4 linked regions of the Oryzias latipes genome follow. The protein of the gene in region 1 interacts with the protein of each later gene in a biochemical or structural test. Links are inferred from orthologs where the notes say so. Each region holds a gene or a part of one and is shown in the gene's direction. Other genes may lie near its edges.

What was found.
Region 2: the proteins of chek2 (region 1) and ppp2r5a form a complex in vitro, tested with the Homo sapiens proteins (2 studies listed by BioGRID and IntAct, with this or other methods). The link is inferred for Oryzias latipes from reciprocal best matches to the Homo sapiens genes CHEK2 and PPP2R5A.
Region 3: of the proteins of chek2 (region 1) and atm, one has a biochemical effect on the other in vitro, tested with the Homo sapiens proteins (6 studies listed by BioGRID, with this or other methods). The link is inferred for Oryzias latipes from reciprocal best matches to the Homo sapiens genes CHEK2 and ATM.
Region 4: of the proteins of chek2 (region 1) and atr, one has a biochemical effect on the other in vitro, tested with the Homo sapiens proteins (2 studies listed by BioGRID). The link is inferred for Oryzias latipes from reciprocal best matches to the Homo sapiens genes CHEK2 and ATR.

The regions. Positions count from the first base shown.
Region 1 is NC_019867.2:29,877,179-29,881,175, reverse strand, and holds the start of chek2 (serine/threonine-protein kinase Chk2), read left to right. Parts: upstream 1-1,171; 5' UTR 1,172-1,285; coding exon 1,286-1,305; intron 1,306-1,385; coding exon 1,386-1,660; intron 1,661-1,753; coding exon 1,754-1,878; intron 1,879-3,997. Other genes in the region: serologically defined colon cancer antigen 3 homolog, read right to left, coding at 857-899. UniProt on the Homo sapiens protein: Serine/threonine-protein kinase which is required for checkpoint-mediated cell cycle arrest, activation of DNA repair and apoptosis in response to the presence of DNA double-strand breaks.
Region 2 is NC_019882.2:6,251,911-6,255,371, reverse strand, and holds part of ppp2r5a (serine/threonine-protein phosphatase 2A 56 kDa regulatory subunit alpha isoform), read left to right. Parts: intron 1-902; coding exon 903-962; intron 963-1,615; coding exon 1,616-1,724; intron 1,725-2,007; coding exon 2,008-2,061; intron 2,062-2,207; coding exon 2,208-2,258; intron 2,259-2,339; coding exon 2,340-2,459; intron 2,460-2,543; coding exon 2,544-2,671; intron 2,672-3,461. UniProt on the Homo sapiens protein: The B regulatory subunit might modulate substrate selectivity and catalytic activity, and might also direct the localization of the catalytic enzyme to a particular subcellular compartment.
Region 3 is NC_019871.2:24,894,313-24,897,875, forward strand, and holds part of atm (serine-protein kinase ATM), read left to right. Parts: coding exon 1-28; intron 29-114; coding exon 115-220; intron 221-742; coding exon 743-901; intron 902-977; coding exon 978-1,086; intron 1,087-1,505; coding exon 1,506-1,594; intron 1,595-1,660; coding exon 1,661-1,763; intron 1,764-1,848; coding exon 1,849-1,997; intron 1,998-2,079; coding exon 2,080-2,184; intron 2,185-2,258; coding exon 2,259-2,378; intron 2,379-2,454; coding exon 2,455-2,686; intron 2,687-2,759; coding exon 2,760-2,909; intron 2,910-3,034; coding exon 3,035-3,154; intron 3,155-3,563.
Region 4 is NC_019880.2:5,842,337-5,846,658, reverse strand, and holds the start of atr (serine/threonine-protein kinase ATR), read left to right. Parts: upstream 1-1,459; 5' UTR 1,460-1,595; coding exon 1,596-1,648; intron 1,649-1,759; coding exon 1,760-1,851; intron 1,852-3,074; coding exon 3,075-3,227; intron 3,228-3,313; coding exon 3,314-4,209; intron 4,210-4,322. Other genes in the region: plastin-1, read left to right, coding at 1-7, 93-226, 334-472. UniProt on the Homo sapiens protein: Serine/threonine protein kinase which activates checkpoint signaling upon genotoxic stresses such as ionizing radiation (IR), ultraviolet light (UV), or DNA replication stalling, thereby acting as a DNA damage sensor.

The DNA.
Region 1 (3,997 bases):
TAACGGGCAACTTTGGAGCGGCTGGATGGCTCAGTGTGTTAAAGGAAAACGAGGGTTTGATTCCCAGAGTGGGTCCTTGGGTAAGGCCTTTCCTGCTACTGCCCAAGTATGCAGACACGACAGGGCCCAAGGCTGGGTCTCCCTGTGCCGGTCCCCAGCCCGGGTAAAATACAAGGTTGTGTCTTTAAGGCCATCCGGTGTAACAATCTCCACCTGTGTCTATGAAGACTCTCATTCATCCAGGTTGGTTCCATTGTAGTAGGTTTAGGGGATGTCATCTGGACTTGGTTTTTAAAGTTAGAAGACGTTTCGCCTCTTATCCAAGTCTCCACCTGTGCGGATCAGTGAAAGCTGATTCGCTGTGGCGACCCCTGAAGGGATGTGCAGAAAGGTGAACACCAAAAATGCAGAAGGGGAAACTGGGTATTCAAGACACATTAGACATCACAGAAGTACGCTGTGGGAAAAATAATTTAACTACAAGGAAACACAGTCCAGAGCTTTCACGTGCTTGTCCCAAGTCCGGACAAACGCAGGTGGATCTGCATGTGATCAGGAGACCAGATGAGAGGAAGCAGCTTCAAGCTGTTTCATCATGTTGGGATGGAAGGAGGACAGATCCTGGGGGAGGACTTCTAAGAAGGTTCTGGAGGTGAAGACTGGATCTGGAGATGTGATCATGTGTGTCACGTGTCAGATTCTGGGCAGCAGATAACCGACTGTCGGTTCCTGAACTTTCTCCTTCATAGTTACATCAGAAGCTAACTTCTGCGTGAAGATCAGTGACGTCACTGTTTCACGAGAACCCAAACCGTCAGAATCCGAGTTTAGATCAGAACCGGACCGAAGCTCTCACCGTCGGTGATGATCAAGGTCTTTCCGCGCCTCTGGCCGGACATGTCAGCCACAGGCAGCTCGGTTCGGTTCGGTTTGGTTCGGTCGGGTTAGCAGAGCCACACTGTCATGTCGCAAAAGCTGGTCCGGTTCAGACCCGGAAATCCCCCCTCCAACTCCACCGTCACGTGACTGATCTGTGACTCCTGACTGGCTGCGGGTGGCACGTGACGTCAGCTCGAAGAGTCCTGCAGAGGAGCTGCACCGCACGTGTCGTGTTTGGACAGGTTCGGTTCTTTTAAAACCCGGAAGAAGCAGCGGTGAGTGTGGCCCAGTACCGAGTGCTCGACCAGCTCCGTGTGTGGACGCGGTTGCAGCTGTGAACTGCTTGGGTTCCGGTTCCGGTTGTTTTTTCCCTGGAAAGCATGGGTCTTCCCGCGCAGAGTTCCACATGCAGATCTGGTCCAAAAGGTCCTGCTCAAGTGGGTTCTGTCTTGGTGAAAGGATAGAAGATACGGGAAGACTCAGAGGTTCTTTATCTGGTTCTGCAGGTCCACAATGTCCGCGGAGACGGCTGAGGTGGAGGGCACGTCCCAGACCCAGTCCACTATGTCCCCCTCTCAGGTGAGGTCTCAGTCCCAGTCTCAGCCAGGGTCCGGTTCGTCCAGCGGGCCCACTTCAGGCAGTCAGTCTTCCAGCGGGTCTGGGACTCTGAGCAGCGTGGACACCATTCCTGTCACACTCGCTTCTGTCCCGGAGGAGCAAGAACCAGAACCACAACCCTGGGGCCGCCTGCTGCCCATGGCCAAAGGCTTCAGGAGCCACGGTGATTCTCCAGCCGTCACCCCACAGAACGGTTCAGATGCTGTCTTTGATTCTAGACCTAACTGAGAACCTGGTCTGTGTTTGAGGGTTCCAGACTGCATTGCGGACCAGTACCTGTTTGGACGGGATTCCACATGTAACTACGTCCTGGATGACCCGGAAGAGAGGGGTTCCAGAAAGTTCAGAATCTACAGCAAGAAACACTTCAGGATCTTCAGAGTGAGAGCCGAGCTGCTGCGTACCAACCTGTCTGTCTTACCACAGACAGGTTGTCTCTCAATGATACCCGTCTGTCTCTCTGACCAAACACCCGTCTCTCTCTCTCTCTGACCAAACATCTGGCTGTCTCTTTGGTTAGCTGCACACCTGTCTATCTCCATTTAACCACACAGCAGTCTGTCTCTGTTTTATCTCACACCTGTCTATTTCCGTGTTTGACTGCACTGTCTGTTTCTTATCTGATCTCTGTCTGACCAAACACCTGTCTGTCTCTTTATATCAGTGTTTTTTAACCTTTTCTGAGCCACGGCACACTTTAACCTTAAAAAAAATCCCGCGGCACACCAGCATCCAAAAAAAAAAAAAAGGAGAAACTCGTAGTCTGTATTGATCTACAGCCCCTGCACAATCTCACATGCATTTTTGAGATAATTGTGGCAGAAAAAGCTGGAAACTGCAGCTGTTTTTTCTTAAAGATGCAATAAAAGTTAAGTTAGAAGATTTAAAAACAGTTTGATGTGTGTTCGTTGGTTTCAAGACGTTTAACAACAGATCTCCTTGTGCGCTGTCACTCTCACAAACCGATGCATCATGGGAGATGTAGTGCATAAAACGGCCGAAGATCGCTTTTCGGAGCTTCATTGTTTTGTTCACTTGTTCCACGGTCTGATACCGGATTCTGTGGAAAGCTACACCGCTAAAGACGAGCTTTAGCTGGTATTTTTGTTAGAACTGAGCGACTTTATGAGCTTAATCGGGACAAGGAAGTGAAGACTTTAAGCACTTCTGATTGGTCAGACTGATGACATGTGATTAAGCCCCCAGGAATTATTGGTGGATACAGTAAAGGGACGGGACTTTTCCAAAATACAGCCGAAGGTGCAGCTGAATTGCGTCATTCTTATCAAAATGTCTTTAATAAAATAAAATAAACGCAAAGAAAAAGTATTTTACGATCTTTTATATTCCTAACTCCTCAGTGTTTTATCAGGGCCTGTTTGGTTGAACACAGAGCTGAAATCCTGGAGATGGGAAATGTTTTTGATCAGTTAATGAGGGCAATTTCCCATGGCACACTTGACCATCTCCCACGGCACACTGGTGTGCTGCGGCACACTGGTCGAGAAACACTGCTCTATATGGTATCCACTTTTTTGTGTGATTGATCACACTCCTGTCTATATCTCTGTCTGACCGCACGCTTGTGTCTTTCTCTGTCTGATGGCACACCTGTGCATTTCTTAGTCTGGCTGCACACCTGTGTGTTTCTCTTCCTGGTCAAACACATGTATTTCTCTCTCCGACTACACCTGTGTGTTTCTGTGTCTGACACACAACTGTGTGTTTCTGTTTCTGACCATACACCTGTGTGTTTCTGACCGAATCTTTGTTTTTCTGTGTCTGACCACACACCTGTGTGTTTCTGTGTCTGACCACACACCTGTGTGTTTCTGTGTCTGACCGCCCACCTGTGTGTTTCTGTGTCTGACCGCCCACCTGTGTGTTTCTGTGTTTGACCGCACACCTGTTTGTTTCTGTGTCTGACCACACACCTGTGTGTTTCTGTGTGTGACCGCACACCTGTGTGTTTCTGTGTCTGACCGCACACCTGTGTGTTGCTGTGTCTGACCGAAGCTTTGTTTTTCTGTGTCTGACCACACACCTGTGGGTTTCTGTGTCTGACCGAAGCTTTGTTTTTCTGTGTCTGACCACACACCTGTGGGTTTCTGTGTCTGACCACACACCTGTGTGTTTCTGTGTCTGACCGCACACCTGTGTGTTTCTGTGTCTGACCGCACACCTGTGTGTTTCTGTGTCTGACCACACACCTGTGTATTTCTGTGTCTGACAGCACACCTGTGTGTTTCTTTGTCTGAACGCACACCTGTGCGGTTCTGTGTCTGACCACACACCTGTTTGTTTCTGTGTCGGACCACACACCTGTGTGTTTCTGTGTCGGACCACACACCTGTGTGTTTCTGTGTCTGACCAAACACCTGTGTGTTTCTGTGTCTGAACGCACACCTGTGTGTTTCTTTGTCTGAACGCCTCCCTGTGTGTATCTGTTTCTGACCACACACCTGTGAGTTTCTGTGTCAGACCACACACCTGTGTGTTT
Region 2 (3,461 bases), on another chromosome or scaffold:
CCAGCTGTTTGATTCATTACATACGGACGTAGATGCATTTCTTTCTTAAGTGTTCTTAAGAAAAAGTCTTAACTATTTTTCAATGGAACGTCTGTAAATCTGCAGACACCCAGCAAACCTGTTCTTTGTACTTCTTCCTGCCAGTTTTCAACAAAAGGACTCAAATCGGGAGGGGAAGAACTCAGTCTTTCACAGAAGCCCATTCTCTGGGGACAGTCGAACCAGGACACTTTGCAGAGCCGAGCCTTAATGAATGGTCAAACGCTGAGGCCGGAACAGCAGGTTCATTAATGAGGCAGTGCAGCTATCGCTCATGCTGGCTCATGATCTCCTCTAGTCCTAAGACGCTGTCTTGTTTACAAAGGGCTTTTTTTTTTTTTGGACAAAAAATGCTTTTTCAATGCAGACACCAGCAGCACTGTTGGGCTGCTGCAGAGTTTGAGTCCGAGTTTCTGCTTGTGGCGGATGCAAACATGTATTTTAACTTTCCATTTTTGCGTCAGGACAGCGGTAACCGTGTTCGGTCAGGCGTGCTGCAGCTTTACTGCTCCTGTTGCCGTGTGACACAGAGCTGTACAAGACCCAGACAGGGGACACCTGATGTCATTTCCAACCAGCGAGGTGGCAAAACGGGTACACCGGTTTTTGACCATCTGCCACCGCGGATATAAATAGGGCCACAGTTGACAGACTCTCTTTGTACATTGCATCGGTTCAGGGATACACCAGTATCCCCTGCAGAGAAAAATAAATGAAGCGTGGCTTATTAGACTGTAAATATTGTTTGGTCTATTTCTCAACAATATGAGAGCATACAGGCGAATTTGATCCTCATTTTCAGGTTTATTCAGAAATGTTATTGTGTCGTTGTGATAATGTAGACTTTTGCTCTGACTCTGCAGGTTCATATATGAAACGGAGCACTTCAACGGTGTTGCTGAGCTACTGGAAATTCTGGGAAGGTAACAAACCCCATTGATTATTTGATTGATTGTTGCTTTTAAATCAGAGACACAAACCTGTGCAACTTTGAAAATCTGTGCATTTGCTGCTTTTCTTCAGATATAAACATTTTTTTTCTTTATTTTTTTACATTTATTATTTCTCATAATAAAACCATACAGCAAATATATAAGAGCATAGTCAAAAATGTATATAAAAAATTGTTGCATTTACTGTTAAGCTCAAAGGCTCTCATAATAACTGTGGCACTGTCTAGTCCAATCTATAAAAATAATCCCCATGTCTTAAGCAAGACTTCATCTTTGGGATGCAGTCGAAAGTCGAGGCAGAGTTCAACGTTTAACCATTGTGACCTGGAGGGAATTTATTAACCTTTGTGATTTTAGGCCAAACTTCAAATTATTAGAAGTTTTTTTTGACCAAATAAAACACTATTTTCCTCATTGGAACTTTGTTTTTATAGTTGCCACTTCCTCAATTTTTCAAAAAAAAAGTAAGGTTAGTGCATGGTTACTGCGTTCCCTCACTGTTGTTTTTTTGGAACAGCTTTAAAAACCCTTTTATAATATTTCCTTTTCATTGCTCGTTTAAAGCCCTGGTTTTCTCTGTGTGTTCTGTAACTTACAATCCTCTCTTGTCTGCTTGTTTCTAGTATCATCAATGGGTTTGCGTTGCCTCTGAAGGCTGAGCACAAGCAGTTCCTGATGAAGGTGCTCATCCCGCTGCATACAGCCAAGAGCCTGGCCCTTTTCCACGCACAGGTAGAAGCAGCTTTTCTTTTAATTTCTGTAACAGCACCAGATTGCTTTGCATCTTTATCTTGAAGTCTTTTAAGTCTGTTGTCTTGCACAAAGGATATGCATCGGTTCGATTATGCAGCTTTTTTAAGGAGAGTTTTATTTGAGGTCACAGTGAAAACTGATTTAAATATTTGCATAAATCCAACTGCATCCTTATAGGTTTCGTTTTTTTCTCTTTAATGTCCTTTTTCTTCTGTAAAACAGCCTTTGTTTACTTATTAATTTTGTCCTTTGTGCCGCTCAGCTGGCGTACTGCGTGGTCCAGTTCCTGGAGAAGGATCCCACGCTCACAGAGCCGGTACATCTTTTTTACCCTCCCTCCCACTCGATGCACAGAATCTCCAGCTCTGGATTAGTCTGCACCGCAGAAATGTTGTAGTGAATGATGGAAAAACCACCCACTCAAATAAATGCAGAATAGAAATCCCCTGCTTTTCGTTGCAGGTGATCCGGGGTTTGCTGAAGTACTGGCCCAAGACCTGCAGCCAGAAGGAGGTATTTAGCTCCTTTTCATGTGCACTCCCATATTTTTGCGACTGCTGTGAAAAATTATTTTCTTTTTATTATGTGTTGTAGGTGATGTTCCTGGGTGAAATCGAAGAGATTTTGGACGTCGTTGAACCAACCCAATTCAAAAAAGTCCAGGAGCCGTTGTTCAAACAGATTTCTAAGTGTGTGGCTAATGCACACTTTCAGGTACTCTCATTTTTTTTTGTTTTTTGGTTTTATTCAAACCTCAAATGCTTTACAAATTTGATCCCGTCTCTCCTGTCCTCACAGGTAGCAGAGCGCGCTCTGTACTTCTGGAACAATGACTACATTCTCAGCCTCATCGAGGAGAACATCGACAAGATTCTCCCCATCATGTTTGGCAGCCTGTATAGAATCTCTAAGGAGCACTGGAATCCGTATGTTCATCCATATAATACCCATAAAATGTTCAGAATTACAGCATTTTACTGCATAAATAAAAAAAGGAGAAAAACATTTCGAGAAGTCTGGCATCATCAGACACTCCTGGTTTATTTTGCCTGCAGGGAAATGTGTTGCTATATCTGCAAGAACTGCTAAGCCTGTGTTTACATGTACACACTGCCGACGAAATGGTGCCCCAGCACGGCTTGGCTCGGGTTGTTTAGTATGAATGTGTAAGGTGAAATAAAAAAACATTTTTCCATAAACTTTCTCCTTCGTTCAGGCATTTTCACCTTCTTTTTACCACTTTCTTAATAATTTTAGGTGAAAATGATCATGAATGACTAAAATTCGGAAGCTCTAGTATGTGCAAAAGTTGGATTTTAATGTTTTGATTTAATTAAAAAGAAAAATGACGACATTTAAAGAGTCCCTTTCTAAAAAATGTAAAAGTGTTTATTTGATCACACAAGTTTTTTCTTAAAAAAAAAACAGAATCTTGTAACTTCTTATTGATAATTATTTTAAAGTTAAGAATCTGACCAACTGTATCTGCTTCGTAAACATGTAGCTTAAAATTGCTAATAGGCCTTTAAAGTCCAGGAAAAAAATATACATTCTGATATCCAGCAGTCTGTAGTTTATCCTGGGAATTGCTTTCTAAAAGTAACATGCGTTTGGTTTAATCTGTGAATTAGGATTACAGAAGTTTTAAGGCTCTAAAACCCCTCACTGCACATTTTATACATTTTTTTTCAGACAGACATGAACATTTTTACACGT
Region 3 (3,563 bases), on another chromosome or scaffold:
TCTGCCACACCTCTCATCCCAGATAATGGTACAGTTCTTCCTGAAAAAGCTAAACGGTGATGAATTTTCCTTAGCATCAGGTGGGATTGCGTCCTGTCTATCTTTTTTCCTCAGAGTCTCCCGCTCCCACTCAGAACTCATGTGACAAGAGCTCTCTGCGGACCATGCTGGCTGCTATCGACTACCTGAGACATCAGCAGAGACCGCTTGATTCTAAGAGGTAAGCTGTAACACCGCACTCCTGCTCTCCTCACTCTTTGACTGTGGACACGCCACCTTCAGAGAATTTTTCCATCATGATGCTGCCACATTCCTCATGCACTTTGGTATAAACTGACAACATCTCTTGAAAGCTTTCTCTAGAAACATTTGAAAACCCTTAACCCCGTCACAGCTTGGTTCCTCTGACCCGAACATATCCTATCCTGATTCAATCCAAAAGTCTCTAGCATGTCGAATACGGAGATGGTTGTTGGTAGCACAGGATGAGCAAAGATGTCCAGACAGCTCTGCTTCTTGTAGCTTCTTTCAGCACCATGGCAAGTTTTGAGGTGTTGATGATGGAGTGAGGACCTGCTTTAGGGCCCCCAAAAAGATGGAAACTTCTAAAAACCTGCTTATTTGCAGCCCCTAACCTCCGCGACTACGGAGTGAAAACTGTACCAGCTCGACATAGTGAGGACGCTGGTGTCTTCAAACTGACGTACTGTCTTCATGAGGATGTCGTCTCCCCTCTGTCCAGGAACTCCGGTGGAACAGTGTGTGACTCAAACTTTTGGCTGGACTTGAACTACCTGGTTGTGGCCAAAGCTGCTCAGTCCTGCTTGGCGCACTTCACCGCTCTGCTCTACACAGAGATCTACGTTGACAAGATCAAAGCCAACATGGAGGAAACTTGCAGGTATGCTTGGAGGTTTGATTTTATTTTTTCTAACTCTCTTTTTTTTTTTTTTTTTATTTCTTGATCAAATGTGCAGAACCAAGTCCAGAGCATCACGCAAAATTAACTTTGAAGCGAACAGTCAGACCCTCACCATCTCCAGTCTGACGGAGAAGAGTGTGGAAGACGTCAGCATCAATCTGCAGGTGTGAAAGTTATTTATATTTCATCATTTATAAAAATGTGTCAAATCTGTAACAGAAATATCTTGTTTGATATATTTATTCTGTCAGAAATAAAGCTATCCAGCTGTGCAGTTTTGAGCCAGATTCCAACTCAGACGGGGAAAACAAAAACATACATGGATTTATTTGTCTAGACATTTGAATGAAGCAGAGCAGGGAGCTTGTGGTCCTACCAGCATATTTTCTATGCAATAAATAAACTCTGCTCCTGATTCACAACAATTTACCTAAAGAAAAACTCCTAAATGCAATTTTAAGGTCAATTTTTCTGTCCACAATCACCAGAAAAAGGCCCCTAAGAACATGTTAAAAACACCATTTTCATTGGAGTGGGTCTTTAATCGACTTAAATCTGTTTTATTTTTTTTTATTGTTTGTAGGAGCTGCTGATTGAAGTTTATCGCAGCATCGGCGACCCGGACAGTCTGTACGGCTGTGGAGGAGAGACGATGAACAGCCCGTTGATAAGGTAGAAGCCAAATATTGGCTGTATTTGCCGCATTGTTGATGTTTTATTTACAACTGTTCCACACAGGATTCGAACCTATGAACATGAGGCTTTGTGGGGAAAAGCTCTGACCTCATACGACCTTCACACCACTCTACCTGAGGTCACTCGACAAGTTGGAATTGTGGAGGTAAAATATATCAAAAGGAGCCTACACAGAATCTTTTCTCTTATTGTGAAATCCCTGTCATCCGGACGTCCCAAATGTCAAACAGGGCCTGCAGAACTTCGGTCTGAGCAACATCCTGGCCACTTACATGAGAGGTCTGGAGAGTGAGGGGGTGGAGTGGGGAGCTGAGCTGCGAGAACTTCGCTTCCAAGCTGCTTGGAGGAACAGCCAGTGGGACTGTGAGCTAGCAGAGAGGTAGGGGAGTGTACCTCTCACAGTGACATCTACTGTTCTTGTCTTGGTAACATGTTTGTCTAAATCTATTCCCCCATAACAGAAGTGAGAAATCCGTCCCTGGCTTTCATGAATCCATCTTTTGTTCTCTGCAAGCACTGAGGGACAAAGAGTTCTCCATGTTTGATGAAACGCTGAAACAGGCCCGGTATGGAAACGCCCTGCGGATGTCATGTTGTTGCTGGTAGCAGTGGCTTCCTACAGCTTGTGTGTCTGCCGCAGGCGTGCTGAAGTGGAGGAGCTCTGCAGGGACAGTCTAGAGGCCGTGTCTTCTCTGTATCCAGCCCTCAGAAACCTGCAGAGCATCAAGGAGCTGGAGAGTTTCAAGCAACTCTTCTCCAGGTCAGTTTGATTATGAAGCTCCTGTGATAACAGGAGTGAAAGGTGGCGCTGAACCGTCTGTTCCGTTTTGCACCAGGCCTTTCTCTGATCTGGCTCTGAGCAACATCTGCCGTCAGTGGCGTCAGCACTCCCATTTGCTAGCCGACAGCGACTTCGCTGTGGTGGAGCCCATACTGGCGGTGCGCTCTGTGGCTCAACACGCTCTCTTATCCAAATTGGGAAACTTGAACAGCACGAACCTCAGTTCTGCGCTCACGGACCATCTCATGGAGCTCTGCTGTTTGGCTCGGAAGGCCGGAAACACCCAGGTAGAAGCAAAACGTGCATCCTAACAGATTTCAAGCCAGAAAGGTTTCCTGCTAAAGGCTCGCTATTCTCCAGCTTGCAGAGCGTGCGGTCCACCAGATGAAGATACAGGGGGGAGCGGGGAGCTCGTGGCAGCTGCAGGAGGCCCAGGTTTCCTGGGCAAAGGGAGAGCAGGGTCTGGCTCTGGGCCAGCTGAGACAGATGATTCACAGTCTAGAGGACAAGGTCAAACATACATTTTCTAATGTAAAGCAGGAAAAATGCTCAGTTTAAACCTCAGAATTTAAAAAAATAATTCCAGGGGAATAAAAGAAGATAAACTTTGTTATCAAACTGTATGTGTTGGTCAGGTGGATTTTGACCCTGATGTGGTTCCTGCGTACACCGAGAGCCTCAGACTTTGTGGGAACTGGCTGGCTGAAACCTGTCTGGAAAGTCCTGGAGTTATCCTGGAAAAATACTTGGAGAGGGTAAGATGGAAAAAGAGGTTCTTCATACACTGGGCTTTGTTTTATCAAAATAGAGCAGTTTTCAGGCAAAAAAAAAAAAAAAAAACCAACAGTTTTCACACTAAATCCATATTCAAAAGTCTCTGTCCTTCTAGAACAGGGGTCGGGAACCTATGGCTCGCGAGCCATATATGGCTCTTTTGATGGTCACATGTGGCTCGCAGACAAATCTTTAATTATAGTTTTTTTTTCATTAGACCAGTCCTTCTCGGGCGCGATACGATGCCAGAGGCGCGCAGTAGTAGCAGTGCTTAGAGAGAGAAATCTGCGCCAGCGCTATCAGTTACTATTATCTATTATTTCACAGAGTTTGTACCAGCTGGAAACCTGTGAATTGACGTGCCTAAAACTACGCGCTCCCGTCTCTGAG
Region 4 (4,322 bases), on another chromosome or scaffold:
CTTCAAGGTTTGTGGTTTTTTTTAATTAGAAGATTCTGCATTTGAACTCACCTGCTGCACGTCAGTGAATCTATGCTGCTTGGTTTATGCAGGACAAGCTGATCAGCACCAGCATGCCGGTGTTTGACCTGATCGACTGCATCGTTCCCGGCGCTGTTAAATGGGACATGGTGAAGAAAGATGCCAGGGGAAAGATGAGCAATGAAGATAAACTCGACAATGCCAAGTAAGCGCTTACTCATTCGTTAATTTTGTTATGCTTTTTATGTTGTTTTTCTTCCCCTTAATCTTTTTACCTGACCTTTGTTTTTTGTTTTTTTGCTTTCCTCTCAGATACGCAATCTCATTAGCCCGAAAGATCGGAGCTCGAGTGTACGCTTTGCCTGATGATTTGGTGGAAGTAAATCCCAAGATGGTGATGACACTCTTTGCTTGTCTCATGGGGTATGGTTACAAAAAAACCACCAAGTGAAAAAACATTTTGAACAAAAAAAGGAAAAAAACATTTGTTTGCTAAAATCACCAGACATCAAGTGTTCCTCATCAGCAGCTTCACTAGACTATTCATGTTTTTTAATTTGCTGATCTCAGTTTTATTTGCTTTATGTCTGGTATTGCTGTACCACTGAAAAATGTCAGAAATCAGAAAAATAAACGCCCCCTTGTGATATATCCATGAATGTTGGGAACATTTACCTTGTTTTTCGTGTCTAAGTAGATTGAATTTTGTTTGTCGTATTGTTCTTTAGATGGTTAATTTCTTTTTTTGTTTTTTTGTTTACAACATGAATTTAAAACAGTTTTTGTAAGTCTATTTCTATTGAGTGTTGTTATTTAATTGGTGATTAAAATACAAAATAAAAATAATACACCTGTGTCCAGTGTCTCATTTGATGACATAATGATATTATGAGAATTAAGAACAAAAGTATTTAGGCAATGATTACATACAGAAAATACCAATTGTGTTGGTATTAATTTACACAGTTGTTTTTGAATGGCAGTCTGCTTTTATTTTTATATTTTTGTAACTTTTTTTAACAGGGAATATTAATGGTGTAGTCTTGAAATAACCCATTTCCTGGGTGTGCCAGTATTTTCAATCAGTCGTTGTGGTTCTGATACATTGGTAAAAATAGGTATGGGTGAGATATTTTAAAAGTTTGAGAGGAAAAAAAAAGCAAAAATTGACTCCAAAAGTTACTTTTCTGTTTCTTTACTAACTGTATTTAGGTTTAAAAAATTACCAGAAGTTTTAGATTTTTAGATTATCGACTTTTTGTTGTTTACAGAGTATTTAAATACTATGGTTGTCCTTTTACTCTTTGAAAAAAATATCATACTTTTGGAGCGGTTTCGTGAGAGTAAAACACTTTTTTTAAGACAAGCCTTTTCCGCTAGAGGGCGCCTTTCCCATTTAAAAACGTTTTCGTGTGTTTTGGACCTCGAGAGCTTCCGTATGAAAACAGAACACGTCATTTTGGAGCGAAAGTTTTGGAACGGGACTGGATGTGATGGGTGTCGCGTATTGCTTGTATTTTAACTTTTCTTAACGCGTGGGGCACCCATAAAAGTGGGCGCTAAGGACGTCAGAAATGGACGGACTTGAGATGTCCGCGATGATACCGGCTCTTCAGGAGCTAGCAAGGTGAGTCCTGCAAAAACTAAGATTAGCTAAAAGGCTAATCAATACCGGTAAAAAGACAAGTTCAAGTTGGCGACTGTATCTGCTGAAGCCACAAACGATGGTTTGTTTCAGTGCTGGCGCTGCTGAGTACGACCAGACGGTGCAGAAACCTCGACGCATCCTGTGTCAGTTCATAGACAGGATCCTGACCGATGTGGATGTCGGTAAGTCAACTTGAAAACTGCGAATAATATCAGATCTGACGCGTTGACACAAAAAAACCTCTAAAATCACTGATATAAATATGTATGCCATTCAGACTGAAATATGGTCGCTTTTGAAGTTTCTTTATTTTTTTGTAACTGCCATTGACTGTGTTCTTTTTAAAACAAAATTTCTAAGTTTAAAGAACAAACAGAATCCGATTATTAGGAAGAAATTAGGGGGGGAAACGAAGTTATACAGGAAAGGAAGTCAGATTATCCTGTTTACATCATGATGGTTAAAACTGTCAAAAATTTAGCTATTTAGTGTACTTGTTCATCATGGGGGGAAAAAGACACTTAAGAAGAGGTTGTTTTTTTTTAGAAATCTAACGAAAATGTGATGAAGGTTATACTTTTTACCAAAAAGCATTTTATTTTCCAAAATGTTTTTATTTCTGGCACTAACAATATGTGGTGCTAGTGAACGGTTGTTTGTTTTTTGGCATATCTTGATATTTTAAGCCTGAAGGGTCAATTCCTTTACCTCTAAGTGGTCAACAAAAAAGACTACATTTAAAACTCAGAAATAGTATTTATGTGACTTTTGTGTTCAATAATGTTTTATTTTTTTGAACTCATAGTAGTGGTTTAATAGTTTAGCAGTCATAAGATCAAAAATACTGGAAATAACTTTGTTGCATAGATTAAAGCCTCTTCATACTGGAGACGCCAACAGGTTGGGTTTTTTCTCAGAGATGCCTGTTGTTGCAAATGTGCAATTTATCTAAAATAATATTAATTTATGTACTATAGTCAAAATAACTGTTGCTTTAGCTTTTACTTGAATGCCAAAAAAAAAATTTTTTGTCATAATTGGAAATAAATTCATACATCAAGGGAATAAATGTGTATTCTTATACTGGAAAAATATATTATTTCTAATCAAAAATGATTGATCGGGAGTGTTTTCATCTGTAAAAGTAAATAAAAAAATATTGGTTGTCTCAATAAACACAAATACATGGAGCTTCCTGCCATTATCAGCCATTCTTCTTTATTAGGTTTGAAATCCGCTTAACGAAATATGCTATCATATACTTTTGATAAAATATATTTTGGAGATTGAAGCTGAGAAAATGTCTTTTCCCTTTTTTTACTACACTTTTTTAAGTTCACTCTGTTCTGTACAGATGTTCAGTCTGATTCGTTTGAAGAAACATTAAAAGTCTCTGTTGTTCCAGTTGCTTTAGGTCTAAGTAAGAAGTCCAGCTCGGAGCCGGCGTGCGTCATGCTGCTGGACTTTGTGCAGCATTTAGTCAAATCCTCTTCTTTGATGTTTGCAAACCCTGCTTGCCACCCTGCTGAATACCCAGACGCCACGCAAAGCTCTGTGGGTAAGAAATCCTTAAAACAACTAGCAAATTCTCAATAAAAGCATAATCAATAGTAACTTTTTTCTTTCCTGACTTGTTGATTTCAGACTTTAGTCGGTGGGTCGCTGCTCGCTTCCTTCGGGTGGCGGCAGCTCCGAGCTGTGATGTGATCCACGGACGCGTCTCTGCGGTGTTGTGCTCTTTACTTCACACTCTGAGGGTCAGGGTGCCTTTCATTTTCAGCCGCCTCACTCAGGAGCTCCTTTTTTTGGCCCGGGACCTCAGCGGCGTCCTGTATTCTCACATCAGTTTCCTGGCTGAGCGAGGACCCGGTCAGGGGATCCAGATGCAGAGCCGATGGCCCGTACTGCTGGAGCCCTTCCGCTTCCCGCCCACGTGCTCCTCCTCCTATCTCAGCTGTTCCTCCCTCGTACTCTCCTCGCCTGCTGCCTTAGAGTCCCTGACTGCTGCAACCCTCCACATCATAACTGACGTTCTGAGGGGGGTCATGTCTCGGCAGGACCTCGCGTTGGCCTGGGAGACGGCCTGTTTCATTTTGGCCAATGGCAACATCAGGCTAAAGAGGCTCTCCATGGTGATGTTGAGGGAACTGGTTGAGTGGAAGGGGTTTCCCGAAATGATGAGCCACGAATTCTTTATTGCCTTTTTCCATTTGCTGGAAACGCACTCCTACACGGAGAAGGAGGAACGGCCGTATGAAGGAGAACTCCTGAAGCTGATCAGCTGCGTGTTCCAGCCTCCTCAAGCTCCTCCCTCCCACTTTGAGCCCATGCATCTCACGCAGCTGTTTGAGTGCGTCTGTGCTCTTGGAGGAGGTCATGTCAGGTTAGGAGCAGAGGTTGCTGAATCTCTCTGCCTGCTCTTCAGCTTCTCTCTGTCTTCTGCTCCTGTTTGCGAGAGCACGGCACTGCTGAGGAAGCAGCGGGTCGCGGAGGTCTGCCGCACGCTGGCGCTGACCGTCGGGACCAACAATCAGGCGGAGGTATTCATTTACTGCTCAACTCCTGTTCTGTTGATTTGTTCCTTTCATAAAGAGTACCACAATACTAACAAAAGTCCAGACATCTTCATAACTGGAAAGGAGCAGCGAGAAGA